Elephas maximus indicus: one gene and its partners. The protein of the gene in region 4 interacts with the protein of the main gene of each other region in a pairwise test. Links are inferred from orthologs where the notes say so. Each region holds a gene or a part of one and is shown on either strand. Other genes may lie near its edges. The genes, in order: DAB1, TBX15, TBX22 and VENTX.

Evidence for each region.
Region 1: the proteins of VENTX (region 4) and DAB1 interact in binary tests that used the Homo sapiens proteins (3 or more experiments, as listed by UniProt). The two-hybrid records come from large-scale screens. The link is inferred for Elephas maximus indicus from reciprocal best matches to the Homo sapiens genes VENTX and DAB1.
Region 2: the proteins of VENTX (region 4) and TBX15 interact in binary tests that used the Homo sapiens proteins (3 or more experiments, as listed by UniProt). The two-hybrid records come from large-scale screens. The link is inferred for Elephas maximus indicus from reciprocal best matches to the Homo sapiens genes VENTX and TBX15.
Region 3: the proteins of VENTX (region 4) and TBX22 interact in binary tests that used the Homo sapiens proteins (3 or more experiments, as listed by UniProt). The two-hybrid records come from large-scale screens. The link is inferred for Elephas maximus indicus from reciprocal best matches to the Homo sapiens genes VENTX and TBX22.

What each region holds. Positions count from the first base shown.
Region 1 is NC_064821.1:101,487,958-101,495,236, forward strand, and holds the start of DAB1 (disabled homolog 1), read right to left. Parts: upstream 3,004-7,279; 5' UTR 2,862-3,003; intron 1-2,861. UniProt on the Homo sapiens protein: Signaling adapter of the reelin-mediated signaling pathway, which regulates the migration and differentiation of postmitotic neurons during brain development.
Region 2 is NC_064821.1:160,479,993-160,487,823, reverse strand, and holds the start of TBX15 (T-box transcription factor TBX15), read right to left. Parts: upstream 3,004-7,831; 5' UTR 2,866-3,003; coding exon 2,661-2,865; intron 1-2,660. UniProt on the Homo sapiens protein: Probable transcriptional regulator involved in the development of the skeleton of the limb, vertebral column and head. Acts by controlling the number of mesenchymal precursor cells and chondrocytes.
Region 3 is NC_064846.1:87,274,435-87,281,585, forward strand, and holds the start of TBX22 (T-box transcription factor TBX22), read right to left. Parts: upstream 3,013-7,151; coding exon 2,841-3,012; intron 2,234-2,840; coding exon 2,008-2,233; intron 1,132-2,007; coding exon 1,030-1,131; intron 1-1,029. UniProt on the Homo sapiens protein: Probable transcriptional regulator involved in developmental processes. This is major determinant crucial to palatogenesis.
Region 4 is NC_064834.1:82,821,155-82,828,247, forward strand, and holds VENTX (homeobox protein VENTX), read left to right. Parts: upstream 1-4,237; coding exon 4,238-4,475; intron 4,476-5,947; coding exon 5,948-6,108; intron 6,109-6,192; coding exon 6,193-6,573; downstream 6,574-7,093. UniProt on the Homo sapiens protein: May be involved in ventralization.

The DNA of each region.
Region 1 (7,279 bases), on a different chromosome or scaffold from region 4:
GGCATCAGAAAGCCACCAAATGCAATTTTTAAGTTGGGTACTGTCAGGTGCCAAGCCAAACACCCACCCATTTGAGAAAAAAAAATGACTTTGGAGGGTAAAGAGAAGCGAAAAAGCACATTCTTCTCTGGCTTTTGGAGGAGAAAATGAACAATAAGTGATACGATCTCTTCCCAGCAGCCTCACACAATGGTAAGCCTTGCAAATGAAACATACTGTGAAACAGCTTGTGCGATGAGCTTCATCAACAATAAGTAATTTTTATTCAGATTTTATTGTTGAATACAATGAACATGATTAAATGTTTCAGATATGCCTATTCAGACCTTAAGCAAACCACCAAAAAAAAAAAAATCCACTAAAAATCATCGTCTAAATCTGCTTTAGGAAGAGATTTAATTGCCAACTTGCTGTGTAGGACTGAATTTCTACTTGATAGTGGCACTTGTTCTCAAGGAGATAGTAACAACGTGTTTGCGCTTCCCACCTCAGTCTCTTCTCTCAGCCCTGCAGATCCTCCCATCTTTGCCTAATAGTTACAATGTCAATCTTTTCAAATCACTGCATTTTGAACTTCCAAAACCTCTAACAGGCCTCTGTGTATGGCAAAGAACAATAGTGCTTCAAAAGCCATTTCTCTGAGTTCTTCAATGCTCCATTTGAATGCTGGGGTTTCAATCAACGATATCAGCAGACAATTTTGATTGCCTGGAAGTTGACTTTTATATACCTTTGATTCAGTAGCCCTTCTCAATAGGAAATAAAATAAATCTTTGATCCCTTTTAGTTTTCAGAATTGTCACCAAACCTCTTCCAGACAGGGAGTGAAAGAGATGGGGGAAAACGTTCCTAACCCCATCCAACCTCTCGTCTCCCCCTCCCCCTTCTATCTTCTTGACTGAGCAGTTTAGGGTTCCAACCAGAATCACTCATCGCTGAGATAATAAAAACAATGGGTGCTAATTCAGGGGGTGGGGATAGTTTATAATTTTATGCATTTCCCGAAGACCTATAATTGGCACATAAATGTACAAACGTGAACCGGGTAATTATGGGGTTCTGAACGTAAGCCACCTTTAATTTATATGATTACTTGAAAACATGTTAAGCGTTATAAAGTGCCAGTGGAACCCCCACAAGGCCTTTATTCAAAACCACCAACATTGTGAAAGGGTGTCTAACGGGCCAGCGGGAGGGGAGCAGGCAGGAGGGAGAAGCAACAGCGAGAATTCTTCCTCCGATCCCCGAAGGCTCGCCAGGAGACGCATTGTAGCCTCCCTGGCGCTGGAGGACTCGCTCGGCCAGCTCCGGGACGCTGAAAGGCGCTCTCGCTTCATCACGCTCTGGACTCGCCCCTCTTTCTAATTTGGCTCAACACAGGCGTGTGTCGGCATCCAAAGGCACACGCAGGCTCGGACCCACGCAGGCACGCACCCCACCCTCGTCGGCACACACCCAAGCGGACAGACACCCGCGCCGCGGCGCACTTCGCCCACGCCGAGCCTCCAGCGAGAGCCCGACCGTGGTCGCCCAGCGTCCCTGGTCTCCCCACCCCCGCCCCATTCCTTCACTCACCCAGCCAAGGCGGAAGTGCCCAGGCAGACCCCCAACAATGAGGACTTGTGTAATGCAGTTGGGGTGGGCGGTAGTTTACACAGAGTGAAACATACACAATCTGGCAAGTCCGGGAGGGGGCAACGCAGGAGACAAGTGTCACCAGCTTCGCGGGGCAGCTTTCTCTCGTGATCCCCTGCACCCCCATCCCAGTTCACCAGAGACACACACACAAAGAGCCTTAAAAAGTGCGGAAAATAAACGCGCCCTCCCACCAGGGGTCACAATTAACACTCTGCAGGATAGAGCCAGCGGGGGAGGAGAGAGTCCCGGCTGCAGCAGCCACCCTGGTTTTCAAATTTACTCCGTCCACTTGGCCAATGGCCCCTTTCTGACGCCGCGGTATCATCTCCCCCAGCTCTAACTCCCTGACTTCTGGTTCTCTCGGCGGTTGAGACCCCGTTTTGTGGCTCCTTTATGAGCCGAACCACGGTGATTTAAAGTTTCCCCAGTAGGAAAAGAAGAAGAAGAAGGAAAAAAAAAAACCGAGCTCTACGTCCGAGGCAGAGCGTTGAGTCCAGAGCAGAGAGAAGGAAAAGGGGAGCGAAGGCGTGGGGAGACCTCGGGTAGCAGGAAGCCCGGGGAGTGGAAGTGAGGCGAGGCGGGTCAGAACTGAGTCGCTGAAGGACTCGGGGAAGGCTAGGGTCAGAGGGGAAGCGAGACCAAGCTGACAGTGTCAGCAAAAGGGCTGCGGTTACTGGGAAACATCCGTCTACCAGATAGTTCAGAACAGAACCGCAGCGCTCCGGCGAGTAGGGAAGTAAGATCAGGGCTCGGGCGAGAAGAAAGTCCCGACGGCGAGCGCCGCTAGCGAGGCAGGGAGAAGCGCCCGGGACCACAGGGCAGATCCTGAAGTGGAAGAAGGAAAGCTTGTGGGTAGATGGACCCGGGGACGCAGGAATGAGCGCAGTGGGTCCCAGGGAGAACCAAGTGTCTTCGATGGACAAGTCTGGAGAGACAATCGCGAGTGGTCACAAGTAGAGAGATAGGGAGGACCCAAGAGGAAGGCGCAAAGGTCTCCCCTTTCTCCTCCGCTCCCCTCACCCCCGCCCCCAGGAAGTGGAAGGAGCGAGCAGAAAACTGCTGCAGTCGCAATCCCAGCAGAGCCCCACGCCAAACTCCCGAGAGGGGCGCGCCTCCCGGAGCCGGAACCCCGGCGGAGCCATCCCCGCGTCCCGGCGATGTGTACCCGCAGGCCACCTGCCAGCGCTGAACTCCGACTGCCGCGTGCCCTCCCCGCGCCTCACCTCGGCTCGCCCAGAGCATCCTCCTCCGCTGCCGCAGCCGCCCAGGAAGGGGCTCCCCATGCCCGGCGGGCGACGGGACTCAGGCGCGCTCTCCAGCCCGGGGAAGCCCCGGCGAGCGCGGAGCTGGGTCCATCCTCCTGGGAGCCGTGGGCCCGGCGTCAGAGCAGGGGGAGGAGACCGCCATGCGCGCAGACCCGCCTCCTCCCGCGGCCCCCGCGCCGGCCCGGCGCCCAGCGACGCGACTCACCTGCTCGCTCCCCCGCTGCCGCCCGCGTAGCCGCCCGGCGCGCCCCTCCCCTGGCCTCACGGCTCCCGCTCCCACTGAGGCGCTCTCTGCGCCTCCCGAGCGCACTCCGAGAGCTTAGCCGAGTCTCGGTGACGACCAGGAAGAGCAAGAGCGAGCGAGCGGGGGCGCCGCGGCTCGCAGTCGCGCCTCTGGAGCCCCAGCGCTTACTCCTCATCCCGGCGGGAAGGGGGAGAGCCGAGCAGCGAGCACAGGGTCCCCGCCCCAGTTGCGGCGGCGCGGAGGAGGGGTAAAAAGCCATCAGACTCCACTTTCACAAAGTATCCAGTGTTTTCGCCGTTATCCCACCACCAGCAGCAGCCCCCGCCCGGCATCCCTCATGTTTCTCATGGGTCTTCTCTTTTATCCAAGCCTCCAACATTCACCTTTGGAAATATAAAGAGTGCCAGTGAGCGGAAAAAAACCCAGGGAGGTTCCTAGACGGTGTGTTGCCCCCACGCACCTTTGCAAGAGGGGACGCTCGTTCCCAGCGGCCAACCCTGGCTCAGCGCTCTTGCAGTACCTGAGGTTTCGGTGGCAAAGTTTGGCTATAAGGGAAAAAGCTGGCATCTGTCAGGTTTTCATCAGTCCCTGGGAGGGGTCCACGCCCTTCAACCTTCACTCTTTTCATTCTTAGAATGCCTGCGAGTGAACAATCCTAAGATTAGATCAGTGAACACAATCTGCGCAGGAGAATAATCCAGCGAGTACACTCAGGCGTTCCCTAGTTCAGGTCCTCACTTCCAAAGATCCTAGGAACTCCAAATCGCAGAACGTATTTTGAGAGTTCGAAAATTCTCCTATCCTGAGACTGGATTCAACTCCAGCAAATGCCTCTTGTGGCACCCCAGTTTCCAGAAGCCAGATGCAGGGGAGAAAAATCAAATCAAGTGCTGTCCTGTCATAGCAGGGCGGGGAGGTGGAAAGGAAAAGGCAGACAACAGTTTCTTGAAAAGTTTATTTCTCCACTTTTTAGGGGCCACACTCCTGTCCTCCAGCTGTGTAATAATAAAGCTAACGTGCTGTTTTGGTTTTGTTTTTCTTCCCCCCCCCCCCCAGCTGCTGTTGCTCACCCATGAAAATTTAATGAAGCATTTAGGGTTATTACCTCCAGAGTCAATGGGCTAAAAATATTTAGCCTAATGCACTTCTCGTGGAGTCAATAGGTCTGTGGCTGGTACATACAAAGTCACCGAGAGACCCTCCCTTTCTCCACAAAATTCACGACCCATTAAACTCATTCCGTAATAACAGCTTCTGTATAAATGGAGGCCCATGCAAATGGAGGCTGTCATGCACCTCCTGAAAAGATAGCCATTTACATAGAGACAAGAAAAAATTGTGAGGTCACTGGCAAGATGCAATCTTGGGGAAAGAGTTGATCAGAAGAAACTCCCAACAAGGTGGGGGGAAGGGTGCCATCCCTGATATTAACTCTGTTCCTGTCTACTTCTGTTTGTGACCGTGGACAGTGGGGTCCCAGGAAACAGGCTCAAATCTCTCAAACTCTTCCAAAATCCTAGGGAATTTAATTCTAAAGTAACACTTGAGATTCATTAAGTAGGAAGTTGAAGCTTGCTAGGCAATTCTATTAACAAAATTCATCAGTTTCCTCATCCACAAAGACAGACCATGGGAAGCTGAATGCAACAGGAAGAATTGAGGGGACATGGACAAATCAGACAAGATATGGCTGAAATGGGGAGGGAGGTAAAGAAAATCATTAAGTACCTCAGGTGGTTGGGACAAATGTCAAATCTTGGGAGAGGGAACATAGCTCCAACTTTTCATTGACTCTACTAAGAAACACTCCAAGGTTTCTCAGTGCTTTGAGGGCAGCTGGGGAACATGAAATTATTTATTATACTAGTACCTACCAGAGCCCTGGTGGCGCAGTGGTTAACCATTCATCTGCTAACCTAGAGCCTTGGAAACCCTGTGCAGTGGTTCTACACTGCCCTGTAGGGTCACTATGAGTCAAAACTGACTTGATGGCAACAGGTTATACGAGTACCAGTTGACTGATCTAGTACCAGTTGATAATACTAGTATCAGTTCTGACTCATGGCAACCCCATGTGTGTCAGAGTAGAACTGTGCTCCATAGGGTTTTCAATGGCTGAGTTTTGGGAAGTAGATCGCCAGGCCTTTCTTCAAAGCACCTCTGCTTGGAATTGAATGTCCAACCTTCTGATTAGCAGTCAAGTGTGTTAACCTTTGTACCACCCAAGCAGGGACGGATTACCCAATAAACAAGGTACGCGTGGGTTTATTTGTGTTTACTTATTAATCCTCAGTGCATAATTTCACCAGATGTGGTGAAATTATGCGCTACGGATTAGTCAGTAAACACAAGTAAGCCTGCCTTGCTTAACGTAAGCCCATGCATACCTCGCTTATTCCGCCCCCGCACCCAGGGACCCCACATACAAGGCCTGCATGTGTGAGTTGTCCCCTTTACCTGCCTTCCACCTTGTCCTGATTTAAATTGATGTTATGATGACAGACTTTGAAGGAAATGTGTGATACTGAGTTGGCTAAGGACTATAAAGGTAAACCCTGGTGGCGTAGCGGTTAAGTGCTACAGCTGCTAACCAAAGGGTAGGCAGTTCGAATCCACCAGGAGCTCCTTGGAAACTCTATGGGGCAGTTCTACTCTGTCCCAGAGGGTAGCTATGAGTCAGAATTGACTCGACAGCACTGGGTTTGGTTTTGGTTTTGGTTAAGGACTATAAAGGGAAGAATCTCATGCAAAACTCTATATTCAGTGTTAGACAAAGTCCAGCATGGATACTGGGCAAACGCCCATGAAATCTGACAGGGGCAACAAGCCAGAGCTGTTTCCAAGTCCAGGCTGGAAGAAAGCATAATATATAGGTGCTAACTGCTCACAAGCTGCCCAGCAAGGGCCAAATGGTCTTTTAGAAAAAAACTGAACCAAATTTTTAAGTGATATTTTAAGTTATTATTTTCTAAAGATGTCAAGAAACAATTCATCTAAAAGCTAGGGTGTTTTTTCCTTTGTTCTTTTTTTTTTTTTTAATAGCAATGTCATTTGTATGACGTATGGCAAAATGAAAAATCAATAAATAGTTCTTTATTACCTACTCTGAGAAACAGCAAAATAATAAGAAGAATAACAGCAAAGATGTACATATTGCTTATTATTTTCCAGGCACCATTCTGGGTATTTTTCATATATTGACTCATCTAACCTTCACAACAGCTGAGTGAAGGAGGTCCTACTCTTATTGGTAGGTAGTGGATAGAATATAGACTTTGGAATCCGATGCTCCTGAGTTGTCTTTGGTAAGTTACCTCTCTTAATTTCAAACTTCTCAACTCTACAATCACCACCCCCCCCCAAAAAAAAGGCTGTCGAGACCCTATAGGACAGAGTAGAACTGTCCCGTAGGGTTTCCATGGAGCAGCTGGTAGATTCTAACTGCTGACCTTTGGTTAGCAGCCAAACATGTAAACCACTGTGCCACCAATAGGGAGAATAATACCTGCTTCATGAGATTGCTGTGAGCCTTAAATGAGATAGCCTCTTGGATAAGTGTAGTACTGAAAAAATCACCCAGTAAACACTGGTTCTCTTTCCAGAATAATTCCGAAATCGTTCATTTTAATTGAACAGCATTTATGGAGTATGTTCTATGTATCAGGCACCATACTAGGCACTGTGAAAAATGATGATAAATCAGAAACAGATCCTGTCTCTGAGAAGCTCAGAGTCAATTGCATAAAGGACATGGGCATGAGTAGCATGCAGATGAGAGAAAAAGGGCTTTACTGAACTTTACATAATCCATCCCTGTGCACATGCTTCTCAAGATACTCAGAGGGGCAGTTCAGGTAAGTGCTGTTTGAGAATGACCCATCATAGAGTGCAAAACCAAATGTCAGAAATCATAAATCCTAATAGTAGTACAAATTAAGTACAGCCAGAATGCTCCTTAGAAGAGAGGATGGTGAGACTTTGTCTTATGTCCTATGGACATGCTATCAGGAGGGACCAGTCTGTGGAAAAGAACATCATACTTGGTAAAGTAGAGGGTCAGTGAAAAAGAGGAAGACCCTGAACGAGATGGACTGACACAGTGGCTGCAACAATGGGCTTAAACATAGCAAGG
Region 2 (7,831 bases), on a different chromosome or scaffold from region 4:
GTCAGTGCGGGCTGAAAACTGGGGGTACGAGTCAGAGAGCTGATGAGAATGCTAAATACAGTTGCTCTAAGTGTGTGTCCTGTGTATATGTGCCCGTTTGTGCTTAATCCCTCCCCAGTCCCGTGGCAGTTTTGTTTTTGTTGTATTTCTCCTGTTCCTGTCTGGTTATCGGCCTAGGGCAAGAGAGGCACGCGGCGACTCCAATCCCATAGCAGCCCTAACGGAGAGAAGCCAGTTTAAACAAAATCTCGAGGCCCAACCGGGCTGAGACGCAGCCTCGATGGGGTCGCCTGCGGCCCCCCTCCCCCATATACACACCTTTAAATGGGGCCTTGTGTTTGTTAGGGTGCTGCATTAGAGGAGAAAAGGAAAAAAGGCCTAAAGGGGACCCCCAAGCCCGGGTGCAACGCGCTGTCAGGGAAGGATCCAGCAGCTCCGCCTCCTCTGCTCCTGAGACAGGCAACTCTCTACGCTACTGCACCCTTTCCCTTAAAGATCTTTTCTCGATCTGCGTCCAGGCTCGTAAGAAAGCTTCGGCCACTGTGGGGCACCAACTTGGGGATCCTCCTCGGCCCATGGCTCCTCCAGGCCTGGACCATAGCCGGGCTCCGCAAAAGGCCCACGAATGCTCTCGGCTTTAGGCTTCTCCCTGCTCCCGGGCCCTTGCGCCACAAAATATTTCGTTTTCTCTCTAATCCAAAAGCCCAACTTTGCCTTAAAAGAAAAAATTTTTTTTTTTTTTTAAGTCATGGGGTCGCTATGGGTCGGAATGGACTCGACAGCGACGGGTCTGTTTTGTTCTGTTTTTAATTGGTAATGGGAACAGAACTCTCTGTTACGTAAGGTTCTTCTATGTCAGGTCCTCCACCCTATCACCCAGTGGGAGCGTGTGAAGAGGATTCCGGAGATTAGAATCCGCGTTTATACCCCTGGACTGGTCTCTCCTTGCCCTGAGCCCCTTCACTTAACTTCTTCCAAGAACAACAGAGAGAAAACTTTTTGCTGAGTCCCTGATTATGACCCCGCTGTTGGCTCTTTTGAACATGAGACCCCAGAGGGGCTCTGGGCGACCTAGGGCCTCCCAAGAGAAACGTTCTCGCGGACAGAACGACTGCCACGCGAAGCTAAATAACTTCTACCGTTTCTACCGTCGAGAAAATAAACGACCCTCCTAAATCGTGATTTGTCCTAAGGCCTGAAGGAATGTCCACTGAGTGTGTAAAACCTAGTGAGGTTTTGACAACAGATAAATGCGGTGAGGAAATGGGGTCTGGTGAAAGAAGGGAAATACACATTCGCCACGCGTTTCTTTCTGGATTGCCCACGCAGAGTTCTGCGTGGTCAGGCACTCGCATCCAAATACAGGGGAAGACTTGAGCTGACGAAATAAATCTCCTTTTAATTTTCTTTTCATCGACTAATAAAAATAATTCCCCAACACTAAACCCAAACACCGTAACGGGCCACAAGAACACGGAGAATTCATAAAACCCTGTCTCTGCAGGTCACCCGCTAATCGCGTTATTATTAGCCTCAGGAGCATGGAAATTGAACTGTCACTGCCTAAAGAGAAAATGTAAGCGACAGCTGTCCCTCCTCGGGCCGGCCGGCTTTCCGGCCGGGATCCCGAGTTGTCCAGAAGCTCTCGGGCCTGCGGCCGCTCCGCCACTATGCAGGACGCTACCCACTCCCCGGGCTTGTCCGCGCCAGGATCGTAGTCTACTCCCCAGCCCTGGCTGGTGGGCAGGAGCACCTCCAGTGTAGTTTTAGAAGCCCGAGCTGGAACGTTTCTGAAGCCGCCAAAGCAAGCCGCAAGCGTTGTGTGTGTGCGCGCGCAAGATTCTTCCAACAACAGCTGCTTCCTCAGGCTGTTTTGCACAGTTGAAATCTTGGCACTTAATACCAACGTTAAATTGCCCCCTCCCAAGGTCCTATTAAAATACAGACATCTATATCTGCCCTATGTTTTATGTGTTGTGTGTACATAATATGCACAGAACGCGCAGAGATCGGAGACAAAAATTAATCGCATGTTCGGCTCCCCAAATACACACAGCGATGTGGGTCCTGAAGAATGACTCAAGGCACGGAATGAGAGTCTAACATCCATTCTTGTTTCCACAAACCCCAACAGACTAGAAATACAATTATGCTCCCTGTCTCCGGGAACAGGGGAAACACAACAACTTGAATCCCAGAAAAAAGTTGGTGGGGGAAGGGCAAGGACCCAGGCTCGAAGCTAAATGGCACAAAGTGGGCATTTCTTGAGACAGAGGTGTCGGGCCGGAAAACCGCGCCAGTCAGGCAGGAACTCGAGGAAGTAAGTCTCGGCTCCCCTCGTTCCCCGCCTTTGCCTTCGACCCACGCCCCTCCTAACCCCCAGGGGCCTAGCTGCTTTTTAGCTGCGGGTACCAACAGGCCTCCACGCTTGACGTTGGCGACGAAAATGCAAGGCTCAGACCTGTCCCCTAAATTGGTTCCGGCGAATTCAGGGAGATTCAAGGTATTTGCAAGAAGAAAAGGGAACCCGCGCTGGAGCAGTGCAGGGCTTGAGCACTCAGGGCCTCCCTCCTCGCCACTCCGCCCGCCGGCTGGCAGCTGGCTGGCCGCCCCTAGTCCCCAGTCCGCCCGCCTCCGGCGGTCCAGCCCGACGCACTCACCCGGGTGGGGCTCCAGGCAGTGCGCGGCCGCGTCCTCGGTGTCTCCGAGAGGGCCCGCGGGGCTCAGCGCCTCCATGGACAGGTCCAGCCCCTTCTCCTCCCAGTCTCGCAGTTTCCGCTTTTTATTCGAGCCGATCAAGGCTTCAACTGAGAAGGCATGTGCTCGCGAGCTCAGGGCGACTGCAGATCTTCTCCTTTCACTCATTTTAGCCGCCCGCACCCCGGCCCCCGCTCGCTCCGCTACTCCTCAGCAGCCTGCGCCCTCACGCTCCGAGCGCCTGCCGGGCTGAGCCCCGGAAAGGCGGCGGCGCGGCGGCCGAGGCCGAGGCGTCAGCGCCGCAGGTCCTCTGCACCCTCCTCCTGTGCCCTCCCCCGCCCTCCGCCGCCGGCTCGGACAGGCGCCCCCAGCTGCCCCTGCCGCTAGGAACAAGCGCCGGGAGCGCCGCCCGCGCGCCGCATGAGCGCTGGAGTCCCGCTTCCCACCCACCCGGGCAGGCGCTCACAGGCTGTGCCGACTGAACTTCATCTTTTTTTTTATTCTCTCTCTCCTCCCTCTCTTTTTCTCTCCTCCCTCTCCCTCTTCCTCTCTCGGTCTTTCCGTCCCCTTGGATCCAAACTTCTGGGAAACTTTTTTTTTTTTCCCCCCTAAATTCCTCCCTTCCCGAGGAGCTGGGGGCAGTCAGTGAGCTCCAGTCCGAGGGGCAAGGGAGAGGGAGGGGGGTGGAAGAGAAAGACCGAGGGGAAAAAAACCCAGCCCTGACCAATGGCGAGGAGGGAACAAGAGAAACCCTGAGAGCGCAGGCCAATGAGAGGAGGGGAGAGACTGAGGCTCCGGCCAAGGCTCTGCGCTCCAGCGTCCCAGCGACGCTCCTGGGCCGACCTTAACCCCTGGCTTCCCGGTCCCTGATGGACTCCTGGGGGCGGGGGAGGGGGCCAGGGAGGGAGAATGAAAGCCAACGTCGGATCTGCGCTGTTACAAACTTCTGCAAATCCTAAATCCTTACCTCTTCCTCCTAAATCTGCTGGATCTTAGAGACTCTGCAAGTCCAGTCATTTTTAGGCAGATCTGAAGGTTTTGGGCTCTGACTATGTTAACCTGTCCAAAAATGTCAGAAAACGACCTTTATAATCTTGCCTACCCCCCAGTGTTTTTAGATCTGCTGGTTTCGCCCCAGTTTCCCCCACCACACAGGCTCTTACATTTCTGTTGAGCGTTTTCTAAACAACTGTGCTTAAGGCAAAACGAAACGAAGCAACCCCCCAAAAATCCGTTACTATCCAGGGTCTTGTAATCGAAAATCCAAAGATCGCTTCCTCCCTCCAGCGCTACCTGATGGAGGAGGAGACGCTGGCGCCCTCGAGCCAGAGGCCGGCGGTGGCGGCGCCAGGCTTACCGCGCGCTCCACAGGCGTGTCCCGGATGGGCCGGCACCCAGAAAACACTCGCCTTCCCTGTGGCGCGGACGCGCTGCTGTGGGCCGCCCTTCGCCTTCTCCCGGCGTTTGTTGCGGAGCGGCCCTGGGCGGGCAGCCTTGACAGTGGAGAGGGCGCTTTTTCTTTCCTTCAACCCCGTTTACCTCAGGAGTCCTCGGCTCTCCCTGCCCTGCTGACACCCTTCCTTAATTTTTTTTTTTTTACAGGACAGTGTATTCATCAGGAACTTAATATCCAACACTGCTACACCTTCTTATTTCCCACACCCTCTCCCCGGGTTCCGAATCTGGCGGCAGGAGACCCTGAGCGCAGCCTTGGTTCGAGCACGCTCAGACCCCCCCCCCATCCAAGCTGGGAAAATGTCACGGATTTCGCCGACCACGACCTACCACAGCCTGATCTTGCCGTTCTAAGGTCCTGATCTAGACGTTTCGATCCTCTTTTGTAGAGGCTGGAAAGAAATGGACCCCGGGGGGCAGGGGAGGGGGATGAGCGAGGGACCCAGCGGCCGAGCAGACTTGTCACGCTGACAGGCTGTGAAGCCATAAGGGACAGAGGGCACCCATGCCGAGCCAGAGGCCACCAAGAACGAGCGCCCACCCGTCCTCCTACCCAGGGGCGAGGAGAGACGGGCCCGTCGGGTCTCTGAAACGCAGAGCTCTTGGCTTGACCACCTAGGGGCCCGAAAAAAATGTAGCCCCTGCTGTAGCTGGAAGCGCGCCGGTGCTGAAGGCCACGACTAAGGGTCGTGAATGCTCCTGGAGCCTCTTCAGCCCAAGAGAGGAAGGCAGAAAGGCCATTTTGGGGTCCCTCAAATTGGACCCCAGCCCCGACGACAGGAAGCTAGCCACAAGGTGAATGGGATTGAGCCAGGCCTGGGCCTCCTGGGTCTTCCTGGAGCCTGTGTCTCTGGCTTGAGGGTCCCTGGGGAACACGTCCAAGAACCTTGGGGAGCTGACAGCTGGGCACTGGGCCCCCAGCGCCTCCCACGCGCTGCCGGGCGAACTCTGGGAGCCTGAGCGGCAAGGCGCATAGTTTCTCACTTCAGCCATCGCTCGGCATTGCTTGTAGGATTCTTGCGGAAAGTGACTGCGTTCACCCCTACAGACGTTCAGCAAAAACGCTGGAGACATGGCAGGGCCGGAGCGCGCAGTTCCCTTCCCTGGCGCCTCAGACCTCTCTCCCAACTCTAGCGTCGCCGGGCGTTCTTCCGCACAGCTGTCCCGGACCAGGCGCGGTGGGGTAGGGAAGAGGCCTGCTTCTAGCCTTCCCCGGCTCTTTCCTCTGCCCCATCGCCTATATCTCCCACTGGCTGTCTAGCCTTCACACTCTCCCAGAGGCCTGGTTTGGTTTGAGAAGTGGACACACTATAGGCCACACACTCTCCCTGGGGCCAAGAAAGTTACTAAAAAAGAAGACTTTTTGGTTACCCACGCACCTAAATGCAGGCCCAGAGGGGTGCACGATGTAGGTGTCCATGAACATGACCCACAGACGCACACAGAGGCATGAGCAATGCCTTCAAGGACACCCCACCCAAACGCTCCAGACCTGTGAGCTCTTGGAGTTCCTGCACCCTTCCTTCAGTTTACACATAGGTTCCACCACCCCATCTCATATACACACATATTCTGGAATTGTGGGTTAAGTCACTGAAACCAATCTGACCCCAGAGAAGCCAAATGTAAGTCATGAAATTAGGGTTCTTTTACCCTAGGTAACCGAGAGGGGCAGGAAAATCTTTTTGTGACTCTGTATCTGTCAATTTAAGTTTTTCCCAAAGAATGCATGCCTTGGTGTGTGACTCTGTACTGATGGGGCAGGAAGTCTGGAGAAAGATTAATCAGGACGGTTTACTGTTTGTGTGACCTAGATGTGTAACTGTGTGTGGTTGGGAGGAGAAGGGAGGATTTAGGGGGATTAAATGTAAGAAGCTGGGATTGTTGTATTCATTTTCCTTTGACTAATGGCATCAAAGAACTTTCAAAGTCTCCTCTCAGCCCCCTCCTCAGTTTCCCTCTCCTTTAACCTTTAGGAGTAAGAGTGGGGTCCCCAATGTATGAGGCTAATTCCTGAGGCAATTCCCTGGTTTCCCAGCCACAAACTCTAGCCTTGTACTTGGTTGGAGGCTATAGCCTGGCAGTCTATTCCAGGTCTATTTCGGGTCTAAAGTTGATTGACAAGGACCAGGCTAGATGCCCCACCCTATTTGCAGGGCTCCAAAGAGCAAGAGAAGGCTGTTGGGGTACTGGGAAGTTGCGGGGGCAGGGGGGAGTGTCAAGGAAGCCTTACTGATCACCTTCTAGGACATATGGGGCAAGAAGACAGTCAGTCCTAGACTTGGCAGCATAGTGATTGCTCACATGAAACTGACCTAAACCCAGTGCCATCCTAGTCCAGGTATTTTCATTTCTCAGTGGAACAACAGAGAGTCTGCCTCTGAGCATCGTAGAACAAGAGTCATAAACACAAACACTCATTTCTAGAAATGGAGCCCCACATACTTCACATACCTGCCCTTCCCTCCTATTTCCTCATCCCCAATACCACCCTAAATACCTCCATTATTGCTGAAATAACGATAAAAATAAAAGCTGCCTTTGATTTTGGAGTTTTGAGTGGGTAATTGAAAACAATGTTAAAAATACAGTGGTTATCCATTGGAACAGGTTAGGCTGCCCCTAAACACATGTGCAGGATACCCTGTGTGGGTGGGAATAGCAGTGATTTCACACCGTCTAGGCAGGTCATTTTTCTGGGTAAAAAAAAAAAAAAAAACATTATGAGGAGACTATTGGGTTTGGGTAACCACCAGTAACTCCAAGGAGAGGTGAAGCCTGGTGACCAGGCCCCACTGAGGCCAAACTGACCTTGGACAAGTAAAATAGCCCCTTGCCTCTGTTTCCCTGTTTCAGACTGAACGAATCCTGGATTCTCTACAACTAAGCAACGCATGCAAGATAATCTGTTTGAGACTGGACAGGAGAGAGGTTTTATTATTGTTGTGATTCAATCTTCCAGGAATGTGAGGCAGACGTTTCCCCTTTTTCCTTCTGTTCCCAAATTGGTGCCCCAAAAGCAACAAAAGACCACGAAATGGGGAGGCAAAACTGTCTTGGAGTCTTCACGCAGGGGCGGGGGGGGGTGGAGGGCAGGGGTAGTGGGGGGTGGGAAGGAATCCATTTCTGGAAACCTTGCCCAATTGCCAGTTCCTTGGAGGCAGCGAGGGCCCAGTCCTGTCGGCTTGAGATAACGCGGTTCGTTCGGGTCCCCAGGAGCTGTGAGACCGTCGTGTCGTTGACTATTCAATTCAACCACCCCTTCATGCTTTACAAATGAAAGTGCATGGGGGCAAAAGGGTCTTTAACGATGTTTTTTTGTTTTCGAGAAATAAAATCTTTTGTTTTTATTTTAAACCAGCAGTGTGCCCACCTCTCGGTCCTTCCAGATGTTTGCAATAAAATGGCAGGTTTTGCCTTTGGGACTGGAAATAAAATTTAACGGCCTTTACCCTGTAATTATTCTCTTAGCTCGCCCTTCATAAATTTATCTGCTTTCTATCGGCGTTGGGGCAGGGGGCGAGAGAAAGGAGGGAAAGCCCCGATTTTATATTTGTGACTATAAAAAAGCGCCACCCGGTTTCCTCGCCTTCGGCCGCCACGGTGTGCCCGGGAGAGCCGGCCCGGCGGGCGGCAACATTGCGCTATTGTTCGCTGGCCTAGGTCTGCGCAGGAGCCG
Region 3 (7,151 bases), on a different chromosome or scaffold from region 4:
TCTGTCTGTTCAGCCCAGAGCCTTCAGTCCTCATCAAAGCACTTTAACCAACAAGGCTTCAACACCAGAATACCCCCAGGAACCTCGCTTGGTTCTGAGGCAGGGCTCATTTCAGAATGTTTCCAATCTCAACCCCGCGCCGCTGAGTGCAGCATTCCCAAGAGCCGTCTTGCAGCTGCAACGTGAGAAGCAAACAGCTTGTTCTGCTGTTTTCCGGCCGCGGTCCCAGCAGGCTCTTGAGCTGAGCCTTCTCCATTGCCCTCACACCCAGCATTGATTCCAGGCAGACTGTCTCACTGGAGGGCCTGGCACTGATCTATTGGTCTAGCACTCACAGCCACAATGCTGGCGACTCCCACACAATTGGAGCCCCAGAGTCAAAGGAGTCCCACAGACCAGTGCCTTTGCGCTGCCTGCCCAAACGGGCCTCTTGGATTCAGGGCAATTCAACCACTTTTCGTTTGCTCTAAACCAAGCGCTTAAATCTAGAGGAAAGAGTACTCCCACCCTCTGGGGCCCGGCGGCCAATTCAGGTGGAGAGGCTGGGGAAGAAAGAAATGACCCGCCCATGTGCGATAACTGCTGGACTGCTCTAGCCTTGAATGGCAAATTAGGGCATTGCTCCTGGCACCCGCTGGGGCCAGGGTGCCTCAGAAGCCCGGGCCCACAAGGAGCTTGGGGCATTTCTTCCCAAACTCCTCCAAACCGCTTTCCTCAAGGCCGCCTGAGCCCATCCCCCCACCCCCGCAGTTGGGACTGCAAAGGGAAGTAGTCAGCAGGCTAGAGACCTGGGGTACACTGAAGCTCCAATTCGGTGGCCGGTGTTACAGGAATGGGGGAGAAAGAGGAACAAGCCTACTCTTCCCTCAGTCCAAAACCCAGATTTGAGCAAGATTATTCAACTCCCAAAGCTCATGGGAAAGCAGCTCCCTCCCCCCTTGCTAGGATTTTCAAAATAGCTCTCTCTGATTGTGAGCCCCAATCCCCCTCCCCTGCCTGGTCTTGGGTACCTTCCTATGGCCCGGTTACCTATAGCGTTTGGAATCCACCGGCACCACGTCGATGGCCACATAATATTGCTTCCCTGGGTCCAACCCTTTTACCTTGACCCGAACAGAGGGAAACATCCGCCTGTGGAAGAGAACAGAGGGACTGACCAGGATGCTTTTAGAGACTTTTGGAGGGGGGCGGGATCAGAGAGAAATGCTGACTCCAATGAAAAGTGAAGGGATATCTTCCTATCCCAGGGCACGTTTAGGGAATTGCAATCGCTATAAGAGGAAAAATTGTTGGTTTGTATGTTTCATTGAACAAGTGCAAGATTTCTGAGTGTAGTAGAATATCCTTACTATAAAAAGAAACCCAGGTAAAGGCTTTGTCCAGCCACCCCTCATCCTACTATAGTAAAAAGTTAAAGAAGAGAAACTAGGAGAGGAAACAGTGTGCTGCATCTCCTTCTCCCCTCCCCCACTGTTCTGAAGTACTTTCTGTGAGGCAGATTTGGAAAAGGCTGAAATTAGGAAGACACACACACACACACATACACACAAATCACCCAGCTGCCACATGAAAGGGTGGCTGGGAGAAAGGCCCACCTCCAACCCCAGATGGAGGCCTAGGGGCCTGTGAGATAGGATATTATCCACTGGTAACTGTAAGGCTTTAAAGAGAGGCCTGACCACTGCCTAAGATGTGGGGTTGGCATCTGTCAAGTGCCTGTACAGATCTAATTTTAGTCATATACTGCACAGACAGAATAAGAGATACCCAGTGCTTGGAAAGGAAGGCTGAGCCGCTTACTTAAGCCAGGCAAGCCCTAGTCTGACTGCTTGAGGGGCAGTGGGTTTCTAATGCCTGCCCAGGCGGTGGGGAGTGGTGATGTAGGGTACTAAAGTGTAAAACTGGAGGCACTGCTTATCACGGGGTAGGTGGGGAGGTGGTACATTAAGCACCTACTGTGTGCATGGCTTGCCCCACAGCCCTTGAACAGCCTCGGTAGAGCCGAACCTGCCAGCCTTGGTAATGATCATCTCAGTCCCAATGTCATGGAACCTCTTCCACAGCTCGGATCCTTGAAGCTCCACTTGGATAGCATCTCTCTCTTCCACACTTTCGCTGCTGTTGCCGCTGCTGTTGCCGCTACCGTTGCCGCTGCTGCTGCTGCCGCCGCCGCCGCCACCACCACAGCCAGAGAATGCAGTTGCTGAGGGTTCTGCCTTGGGTCGCTTTTGTGCTGGACACAGAGACGCCAAGGGTTTGAGAGAGCTTTGCAGTTTGCACACCTCCTTGCTGGCGCCTGTATGGAGGCAGTCTGGCTTGTCCCTCCCTCAGAAATCCTAGCCATAGATACCCAACCTTCCTCCAGCATCCACTGGAGCCCCGGTAATGGAGAGAAAGGGGTAACATCGCACCCTGAGAAAGACGCAGCTCTTCTTCAGATTTGCCCATCCTCATTCTCCTGGAGAATTTCTGTCTCGGAGACTGGATCCTCCAGGGATCTGAGGACTTGCATTCATTCCTACCCCAAGGGGCAGCCACCCCTCTAGCTGTCTGGGCTTCTTGGAAGTCAGGGAGCCTCACTTCTCCGTAAGCATGTCGGAACCCTCTACCTCACCGCAAATGAACCTCAGAACTCCAGACTTTAGAGGCATAGAAATCTCCTCTGGAGCCAGGTGGTCTAGGTGTCCCCTGGCCCCTAATGTGGAAGCCCTGCTAGGCCAGGACATCCTGGTGCAGAGCAAGCTGTCCACCCGCAGCGCTGTGGGTCCGGCGGAGAGTGCCCTGAATCCAGCACGCGCAGCCGGTGAACTAAAGGCAGTGGGGCTGTGTGGGGTACTTACCAGACTGTTCACTCCTCTTGCCTGCCGCGCAGCACCTCCTCTCCTCCTTTCCACCCTCTTTTTCCTGAAAATTAGGCTGAAATTCTTCTCTTGGGTCTTGCAGTTTTCTTTTGCTTGGTCTCCCTACCAAGGCTTCCACTGAGAAGGCATGCGCCCGGGAGCTCAAAGCCATTCCTATAGAAAGCAAAGGGAAAGTGCACAGCGAAGTTTGAACCTCTGAGGGAGGGAGGAAGAGGGAGAAAGGGAGGGTGCGGGAGATAGGCGAGGAAAGGAAAACTGAAAAATCCCCAAATTAAAAAAACAAAACAAAACAAAAAATGATTCTGGGTATGGAGATGTACATATATATATACATATTTTTTTTCTTTCTTTCTTTGAATATACAGAATGAAAGGAGAGAAAGATCAAACTGGAACCTAACTTCTCCAGAGTCTCCTTTCCTTTTGCGGTCTCTTCCCTCCCAGTGGACATATGTGGACCATCAGTCCTCAAATCGCTGCTTCCAGGACCTGGCAGAGCTCACAGTGATCAGCAATCTAGGGCCTTTTAGGGAGCAGACCTGCCGCCAATAGCGGCCCAGGCCACTGGGATTGGGAGATAATGTTGCACCCAACTGAGTGAATACAGGCTGGTTGCAGCCTCCATTGTTTGTTTTGGAAACTATTGGAAGCATAAAAAACACCCTGAGTGACACTTCAGAGTCTGACTGAGGAGCGGGGCTGTGGAAAGGGAGGAGAAAGGAGGAGAGGGAGACAGCACTGACTATAATACAAGGTTACTGTTTTACATTAAATTGTAAAACTCAAAGACATGAGACATAATTGCCCCCTAGGGGCCACTTTTCTAACAAAAGTGCAAACATTATTTAAGCAGAACCAGAGAAGTGTATCTGGGCCTTTTGCTCTCCAGTAAAGTCACCAGGGAAAGGTAGAGCAGTTTTCTGGGCAGGTTTGCTCTGCAATAGGGGTTTCAAGCTGGATGTGAGGTAGTGCCAGTTTGTCCTCTTTGGATGCAGAGGCTCAGGGAGGGCAGACGGGACCCCCCCCCCAGGTGGTCACTGTCAAAGATCAGAGAGTACCTGGGCCTTCCAGGTCTGTTCCTGCTGGACCCCAATATTCATATACACAGACTTCTCATACTTACATGACTAATCAGCAAATACAATATAAGGACTCCAGGGCCACTAGCAAGGCACCAACAGGGCCTCTGACAACTTCAAAATGTTGGGCTCAAATGATTGATTCCAGTGTCTCCTGGAATATCTTTTTGGGCTGGGTCTTACTTTTCCTTAAATTAGATGAAGGCAAGTTCTTCCTATCAGATAGAGACTTGTCTACCACTTCCAAAAGCATTTCCGTGAGTTCAGACATGAGATATTTGCCTGTGTGCATGGGATTTGCTCACCCCTTTTCGTCAGAAATAAGAAATCAGATGCCTCAGGGCGTTTTGTAGACTGCATTTTCAGTAATGACCTGTGCACTTTTCCAGAAAGATTCTCCTGTTCTTATCTGGCACATTGAGGGCATTTAAAGCCAATTCAACTTCGTGTGAAATAGGATGGGACTTGAATTAATTGGCAGTGGCGTAGTGGTTAAGTGCTATGGCTGCTAACCAAAGGGTCGGCAGTTCAAATCTGCCCGGCGCTCCTTGGAAACTCTATGGGGCAGTTCTACTCTGTCCTATAGGGTCGCTATGAGTCGGAATCGACTCGACTGCACTGGGTTTGGTTTTATCTCTATATTGGAGTTTGAGATTTGTGTGGCCTTTTAATTTCAGTTACTTAGGTACAAGGGTGCCCTGCCTGTATTTTCTGTGTGATGAAGGTGGTAGTGGTGAGGGAGGAGGTCAACATTCAGCTGGTGCCTTGCAAGGAGCTCTTCAGGCAACTGGGCATGGCTTTAAGAACCCCAGAACTTTGATGATCTCACATATCATGGGGAAGTGTTAGTTATGACCTGAACGTTGTTGAAGGGTTTGATTCAATAACCAATTATCCACTGCTCACCATGCAGAGCTGGGAAAGGCACCATCCCTACCCTAGAGGGGCAGAGCAAAGCTCACAGGGCAAGGCCAACTCCAGTGTACAAGGCATGTGGGCTGGATAACAACTAGATCTGGATATAATCTTGGCCACATCTTCATGGGCATTTGTTTCCTTCTGAAGCCATTAAAAAAATGAAAATATTAATGCATTTGTCCATCTCCTCTTACTCAGAATATATATAGAATATATAATCTACATATAAAAAATCTACATATATATGTTCTATATATATATATATATATACATATATCCATTGCATGTTCTTAGCTTAAAGGTACAGCCCAGAAACAGAGAAGTCAAGATTTTACAAGTTAATTTTAGAACGTTAGTCACCATGTAGCACTTTCATTAGTGTCTCTTAATATAGGCATTTTCTTGTATTTAAACCCTGGCTCACTTTACTGCTAAAAGACAGGTACCTTTGATAACAAGGGGGGGGCTTTGCTTGGTAGGTTTTTTATTTGATTTAGTTTTTGCCAGATTTCTGCAAAAATAAGACAAAATATGGTTGGTGCAATATTTGTTCTAGTATTTCCAACTATGTTCTATATGATTTTTTTTTTTAAATCAAGGATATAGTAGTTCTTGGGATGAAAGTTCTTTTCTTAGAAGAAACTTCTTCCTCAATACTCAATATTCATTACACGCACGTAATTTAGACATCCAGGATTTTTTTTTTTTTTTGTAATCTAAACTTCCATTTCTGTTTCAATATCTATCTGATGTCATCATTGGGAGAAATGTAGCTCAGCCCTCCCTTATGCTAGACTGAGGTGTAGTTAATTCCTGTTAACTTGTATTTGAGAGAAAATTTATCACATGCCTCAGGACCAACTTTGCAATTTGTTCAACTGCTGAAGCACTGGGCTATCGGGTACTGGGGGCCTGAGGGACATACACTCATAAAAATACTAGCAATTAATTCTCTACAGTTAGATGTGTCTTTTCAACATTTTTGTCTGTTTGTTTCAGCCAAGGACACCTAGAAACCCTTATAAGAGACTCTTCAATGCATGGAGGGACAGTGGAACGTGCAGAGAGAGCTTCTGGGACCCACAGTTACCCAAATTAGAAGGATTTTTTTTTTAAGTTTGACAGTTGGAAAATCCTTAGAATCAGGTGTTGGCTTTGAACTTCCCCGAAAAAAGTTACAACTGGGACACAGTGAGGATTCACAACTGAAAGGAAAAATAATTTTGTGATTAACGCAAATCAAACCTATTCAGTATCTATGAGGATACAGAAGAGATGGAAGCACCTTAAGTGATATATTGTTTATTAGAGCTCTCGTGGAATCGAAACCTGAACCTACTTTAAGGACAGAGAAAGCAATTTGTATCTCTAATAAAAATCCCAATATTTTGTTAATGGCTAGAAATAGGCATGTATACTAATACATGCACTAAACAAAGTAGGCCCTGAAAATGCTGCTTCTGGTGATGTGTGTGAGCATGGAAATAGATGTTCAGAATTAAGTTAACATGTTTGGAAATGTTACTTTTATCAGAAATGTATGATTTATGTAAGGAGTAAAGACTCAGGGTCTTCCTAGCTTTCTATATAGGCAGTATAGGTTATTTGAAGAAAGTTTTATGTTTAATTAAAATGAGTAAGTCTGACTGGAGGAAAAAAATCCTTTGTATTCTGCAGTACTTACTAAATAAGGGGATAATTTCAAACTGATTCCAGTTCCTACTTTTAATTTGTGTGGAAAAGAATGAAACAAACGAAATTAAATAAATCAGTAAGCATTTCAAATATATATGTATATATGTATGTAAATATACATATATATGAAATACACATATATTAAAAAAAAAACAAACCCAGTGCCGTTGAGTCGATTCCAACTCATAGCGACCTTATAGGGCAGAGTAGAACTGCCCCATAGCGTTTCCAAGGAGTGCCGGGCGGATTCAAACTGCCGACCCTTTGTTTAGCAGCCGTAGCACTTAACCACTACACCACCAGGGTTTCCCTACACATATATATATGTGTATATATATATATGTGTATACGTATATATAGGTAGAGGCAAAATATACAAAATAAAATAAAATGTCTTGAGACTTGTTGAATGCATAGTGCCTGTTTTTGTCAGAGAAGCACAAGCAACTTCATGATAGAGACATTTTTCCCTTCAATTGTCATTTTTCTTTCTCTCCTTTGATCCTCATTCCTCACCACCCCCACCCCATGGTTAAGATATTTTGGCCTAGTTCCAAGTCTAAAATCTGCTGCTGGTGACCAGTTTTGTCATCACTTGG
Region 4 (7,093 bases):
GTTTCTTTCTCTTCTTTCATTGGTCCTGCTGTCTGTGTGCCCTCTGATGTCCACATTTATCCCTGAAAATGGAACTGAAGTAACTAAGTTCAAAACTAAAAAGAAAAACACAAAACAAAGTTCTGCTCTGACACACCTGGCAGCCCCGTGTGTGTCAGAGTAGAACTGCTCTATAGGGTTTTCAGTGGCTGATTTTTTGGAAGTAACCAGGGCTTTCTTGCAAGGCACCTCTGGGTGGACTCAAACTTCAGCCTTCCAGTTGACGGCCAAGCACGTTGCCCGTTTGCACCACCCAGGGACTTGGCTTGTTTATCTCCCAAGTGTAGCCTCTTTTATATCCATTCCTCTCACTGTGATGTCTCCTACATAGTGTCCCACCAATAGATGGTGTTTTAAATGTTCCCAAATCCCAAGGGAGTTCATGGGGGGCTTGCTGTGTACTGTGGGGCAGTATTTGAAGTGTGTCCTGTTTACCTGGAAAGTGGATTCTAACCTCAGGCAGGCTGGACAGGACCCTCCTGCCTCACTCCTCTCCTGTGGCCCCGTCAGCTGGTTGGGTTGTGTCCTCTAGCATCTCCTAGCTTCCCAGACCATTCCCACCTCCCCCAAGACCCCTTAGGTTTGGTCCCCGGGGCCCAGCCTCCCTGCCAGCCCCCAGTGAAGGGGGAGGGAGGTGTCCCCAAGCCTGCATCCTTGCAGCCTCAGAGGATGGGCAGAAGTGGGGCCTAATGGGGCTGAGGTGGGACGGGTTCCTGATGCTTCCCCCCAGAACAGAAGGCCTGAGCCTGGGACCTCACTCAGCAGACAGGAAACCCAGTGAGGTAGACAGGTCACCCCAGGATCCACTCTAAGGTCCAGCCCGAAGCTTCCCGCACAGGTGGGCTGCGTGGGCTCCGCCTCATCCCACTCACCCTTTCAGAATTTGAGACCCTTCAACCCACCGGGTCATCTCTTCACAGAGTCTCAGCCCAGCCGGGTTGGGGTTGTCCATACGTTGCTCCCCTACACACTCAGATTGTGTCATTTCAGGAGGAGGACAAAGGAGTCAGGGAGCCCTGGAACAAGGAGTGGAGCCTAAGGGAAGGGGAGGAAGGCCATGAGGGGAAGTGGGGGTGTGGAGGGGAGCGTGAAGGAGAGAACCTGACCTGCAGCAGGAGGGAGAAGCAAGACCCACCCCCTCCCCAGTGATGATGGGGGCACACAGCTGTGGGCTGAAGTGAGAAGGGCAGGGTGGGCAGTGGTACAGCCAGTCAATGTGGAGAAGGGGTTGTAGAGTGAGGTGTCCAGGGGGCACCTGGATGGATGGAGGACAGGCCCCTGGGAAGAAAAGGTTTGAGTGGGAAGTCTGACTTTAGAAGTGTTGTATATTAGGGGTGGGAGTTGCTTCCAAATCATGAACACAATTTGAGAAGGTGTCTGTGGAGCCAGGGGGAGTAGAGCGGGGATTAGTTAGGGAGGCCTGAAGCCCAGGGCTCACCCCTCCCCAGTGCAGGCATCATCACACATTGCGAGTGGGAGGCTGGGCTCAGCCGTCACCCTGCTGAAACATGGCTCCGGCAGGCTCTGTGGAGCCCACACCAGTGTGCAGGTGTGGGGTTCAGGAGATGGGTCTGGGCTGAAGCCACCAGGTCTGAGCTGCTATCCGGGCAAGGAGGTCTGCGTCTGTGGAGCAAAGGCTCCAGCCTATGTTTGTTTTTTTAATTTTCCAGCCTACATTTAATCATTTGGAGGAATGGTGGGCAAAGGGGCCTAGAGCAGTAGAACACTGGTGCAAGGGGGCCCAGGAGCTGGGCAGGGGAGGGCCCGGTCAGTCCACGACACTGCTGGGAGGCCAAGTAAGCAAACAGGCCTTGGCCATCAGCTCGTGGGGAGAAGGGAACACCCAGGGTATGTGTGGAGGCAAGGGGGGACTGTGATGAGGAGTGCTGATGGGGTGACAGGAGACCACCCTGATGGTAAGAGATTGTGGGGAGCTCAGTCAGGAGAGGCCCCCAGACCCCGCTGAGTAGACCTGAGGGTACCTGCAGACTGAGGTGGGACCCTTGAGCAAATTTCTTCCCTCTGTTCAGGGCAGGTGGCCAGTTTAGGCAAATGAAGGTGTTTGCCAGAGAGCAAGGAGGGGCTAGGACCTCAGGTGCACAGGTAGGAAGGTGGAAGCAGGAGCAGTGTCAGAGGAGCACCAGAACCCCACACCCCCCCTCACGGGCATCACTTGGTAGAGCTGGCTCTACAGGCACGGGGGCCAAGGGGCCAAGAAACGCTGGCCCTTAGAGAAATGAACGTTGACCGAGTTTCAGAAAGTGTGGTATGTGCTGTTTTCATGTAATAAGTGCTTTTGAACATGGCAAAAATGTTCAACAAGTGTTCCTTTTTACCTGTGCTTCTCTAGCCTGTTCAGTGCACATTGAGCAATTATTGCGGGGAGGGGGGCTGCTACCCTCAGAGCCTCTCAGACCTCCCTCCCAGAGGCAGGTCCAAGCCTTCCCCAGCGCACCCCTGCAGAAGCAGTGACCAAAGGCTGGGCGGCCAAGGCCCCTGAGGAAGGCCCAAATGGGGGGCCTGACCAGGGCGACCAGCGGGCTCCCAGACCTCGTTTTTTTCCCTCTCCCCTGTAGCCCGACAGGCTCCGGGGGTGGAGGTTGAGGGTGTATGGCCAGGGGAGTACCGAGGGCCTTTGCTATCCACCAGGTGAGTGGGTGTGGAGGACACACTGCTTACGTCCGCTGGTGGGGGGAGGGGGGAGGAGCAGCAGTACGAGCGCCCCAGGACTCCGTGCGCCCTGAGGTGCACCCAGGGCCGCTCCCGGCGGGCTCCCGAGGCATTGCCTCGCCGTGGCCATCGTCGGGGAGCAACAGATGCGATCCAGCAGGGGTCACGGGATAGAGGTCCAGGGAAGGCAACCCCCACCCCCACCCCCGGCACAGGTTGGGGGCGGGAAGCCGGCAGGAAGGAGCAGAGAGAAGCTAGTGATGGGGGAATAGCGGGGAGAGCGAGGCAATGGGCGCCCACCGCGCTGGACCCCGCTGGCTGCGTTGTCGCCTCTCTCGGGCGGCGGCGATTTTGCCGTCCGCTTTCCCCAGGCCAGCGCGGCGCCCGGAACGTGGACGCAGGAGAGTTCGGAGTGAAGCAGTCGCCGGGGGCGGGCTGGGATGGGGGAGGCCTACGTGGCCTGTCTCCCACAAGGAGTGTCGGCTAGCACAGCAAGGCGGGGACACGCGGGGCGGCCTGCTACCTGGGGAGCGGCCGCGTGGCTAAAGCAGAGGTCGGGACCGCGGCAGAGCGCGGTGGCCCGGCGCCCCCTTACCCCGGGGAGCCGTCCGCACCGGGGCCAGTAACCCGCCCTCCCTGCTGCGCAGGCGTGGCAGATCCGAAGGCGGCGCCACTAGCACCGAGTTAGCCCCTGCGGTGGGGCCAGGCCTATGGCCCGGGCTAGGGCGGCGCGAGTCGGCGCCGAGGGAGGGCCAGCCGGAGCCACAGGGGTCCTTCCCTCCCCAGCCAGACAGCCGGCGAGCGGACACAGAGCCGTGCTTGCCTTCTCCTCGGTCAGCGGGGCACCTCTTCCAAACTGAAACCTCTGTCATCTCCCCCCAGCCGCCCTGCAGTCCCAGCTGGGGAGGGGGGCTGGAGAAGCAGAACTTCCTGCCCCCACCGCTTAGCGCCGCTCGGGGCAAGCGGGGGCTGGGCGGCCCTATAGGAGGCAGCCACTCCTCCCCTTCCTCACGGCTAGGGCAGATGAAAGGATGTAACAGGTCCCCAAACCCTCAGCGGGCTGGGCAGCAGCCCCGCCCTCCCCCAGACATCTTGGAGCCGAGGGAGGTGTGAATGGCCTCCTTTGTGCTTCTCAATGAAGGCAATTAGGTACTCCTTATCTGGGGGATTTGCAGCCTCCTAAGCAAACCGACCCTTCTCCCCCCCACCACCCCCCCACCCTCGTTTATAAACTCAGCCCGGCCCTCCTCAGCCCCAGGCAGATCCTGTGCTGGGCCTGGCCAACGTGTCCAATCCTCTTCCATTTTCTGTGTGGCCCCCCGGCCCCATCTGCCCACAGTGGATCCTGTGCCCAGCCCGGCTCACCGGTCCAGCTCCACTCTCATCCTCTGCGTGGCCCCCCGGCCCTGGGGGATCTTCTTTGTCTGGCCCTCTGTGAGTGTTCTGCGTGGTCCCCTGGCCTTCGGGGGATCCTCTGAGTAGCCCCGTCACTTATCCAGTCCTCGGCAAATCCTCCGCCTGACCGGCCATGCCTCCCTCCTCCGACCTGCACCAGGGCCACAAACCACACTCCAGTTTCTTCTCCGTGGACTGGCTAGCCCAGAGCAGCCACTCGGGGCCAATATGCACGTCCAGGCCCAGCGAGGTCTCTTGGAGGGGCTTAACTGCCCCCGTCTGGGTGCCCAGCAGAGGGGAGCCCCCTCAGAACATGGCCATCGATGGGGCTAAGACCCCAGATCTGCGTGTGCGAGGGACACCTGTGGCTGGTAGGTCTTGAAGGGGAAAGTCCTTCCCAGATCGGAGTGGGCGTTGGGGAGGTTCTTGCAAGGCAAGGAACACACGAACACACCCTGTCCACTCGGTGGTTTTTACAGGGCAGTGATGATGTCCCCTTGTGAGTGAGTGAGTGAGCGAGCAAGTGAGCGAGCGAGCGCTTCCCCTCAGAGGGAAGCCACCTGCAGGCACCTCTATGGTACCAGCCCTGCAAGCCCTGCCCTGCCTCGGCCCTCTGCCAGCCACAGCATCTTCCCAGTTCCCAGCTACGTCCAGCCCAGGCCTGCTGCCCGAGGGCACTCCAGTAACTTGTCCTCGTGAAATTACCCCACCCCACACCCAGAGGGCAGCTTGTCTCCCAGCTATGCCTGTCACGCACGGTGGCTCTGGTGTCTTTGTGCATGTGGTCCTCAAGCTCTACACTGAGCCCTTGAGACCCGGGTCACTGGGAAAGACCGTTGCTTCTAAAGCTGTGAGACTGGCCAATGCAGAGAGGTCATCGTTGACCCCCAAAATGAAGGGGGTCTTCACTTGGCTCCAAACTTGAGCCCGTTCTCAGCAGACCTGGAATCTTGGCATTTTAAGAATGCTCCATGGGTGTGATTGAAGTGGCCGCTGGGGCTGGGCTGCAGACCAAGAGGCCACCTTTGCATTTCTGTGCCTGGGAGTCTCGCCTGGGGGCCTGGCCAGCGGCTCCATAATCCTTATCTAACCCTTTGTCATGTGCTGACAAGATTTTTTGCTGTTTGTTTTCTAGTCCATTGTAATTTAATCCATTGTTTTTAGGTTTAAAGTCCTACTTGGTCAACAATGAGATTGGTATCTATGATTTTTAATTTTTTTTTAAAGTTTGAGTGATTCGTTTGGAATAATTTCATACTTGGGTGAAGTGAAATATTTATTGCAAAGACCCACAGCAGGTCCAGGTTAATGGGTGTCTGCCTTGGCTCCCGACTAAATCCAAATGTGAACAAGTCGATGAGAAAGGTTGACCTCCCCTTGGCTCTCTGGGTGCCCCAGGCTTTTGTACGTAGTGGACCCTCCCCGGAAAGTCCCTCTTGCTCTGCCCCATCTGTCCTCATCTGGTGAATTGGCTGCAGGGAAAAGAAATTGCTTTCTGGAGGGATGTGAGTGAGGGTGGCTCTAGGTTGGGGCACTGGCTGGTGGAATCTGCACCAGGACTGCCCCTCTCAGCCCAAACCACTCTAACCTTTGTCTCCTTCCTCCAATACACATGTCCTGCTCTGGACCCCCTCCACCCTTGAGCTGGGAGACTGAGCAGGATATTGGAATGGTGGAGTAAGGAGAGAAACTGGAGCTGCCCCTGCTTCAGGGACACAGGGGCTGCCCATCCACCTTTGGCCGCTGCGTCTGCTGCCTAAGTAACCCCGAAGCTCAGGGCAACTTTCACATAGCGGGGAGCATGTCCCAGGTGGGTAGACTCTCACCCATCTTCCCGTTCCAGGGCTGAACAAGGAGCCAGACCCTTTGCGGGCTCCCCGGGTGCGTACGGCCTTCACTACAGCTCAGATCAGCACCCTGGAGAGCGCCTTCAAGCTTCACCAGTACCTGGGCCCCCAGGAGCGGAAGAAGCTGGCCAAAGAGATGCACCTGACTGAGGTGCAGGTGAGTAGGCCATGGGGGGGGGGAGGGGAGGCTGGGTGAACGGGGGCGGTCTGTTCTCACCCCTGCCTGGTTTGTTTCCCACAGATAAAAACTTGGTTTCAGAATCGTAGAATGAAACACAAACGCCAGTTGCAGGACTCACAGCTCAGTGTCCCCTTCTCTGGACCCCTCTACGGGCCCCTGGCCATCCATCCACCGTCTCCTGTCCTGGGTAGTGGCTTGCAGCTGTTTTACCGTGGGGCACCCCTGCCTGCCGCCCCAGCTGTTTTGCTGCCTCTGGGCTCCTTCTGGGGTCCCTGCCCAGTAGAGCAGGTCTTGATGGCCTCTGCATGGAATCCCTGCAGCAGGCAATCTCAGACACACTACCTCCCAGAGCCTGGGGGCCAGGCGCGCTTGTTGGCGCAGGCCTCATCCAGGGGCTCCTGGGGCCTGTGTGATCTACCTGAAACCGAGGGTGCCTTTTGAGGAGGCTGGCAGCCCCGAAAGTGGATGCTTCGCCCATCCCCAGGAGGTGTGTGCAAGGTCTGCCATTGCCCTGAACAGACACTAACTGTCCTTTTCATCACAGCCGCCTCCCACATGGCGGGCCTTGTGTGTGTACGATGATTCATGGTGAGTCCCTACCCTGACCACCTTAAGACTCCAGAGTTTTACAGCTGGAGACATTTTAATGCCACCCCTTCGCTGAAAACTACCGAAAGGGTCAGCATAGGGGGTAACTGATGGGTCAGGGAGCAGAATCAAAGGCCAAAATGGATGTGTTACGCATGGGGTTTTAGCATATGGTAAATGGATAATTTATTCAATAAAAGGTGTTGGAAAAAACTGGTTTTCCTGTTGGAAAAAAAGAAAGGAGGGTCCTCATTCTGCGTGCGGATCAGCTTGGTCTGCAGAGACGAAGTCCGTGAACCGTGAGAAGCAAGTGAGGCTCTACATTTACAGCTTTGAGGTTTGGGTGCCTTTGTAATGGAGCCACCACAGCTGG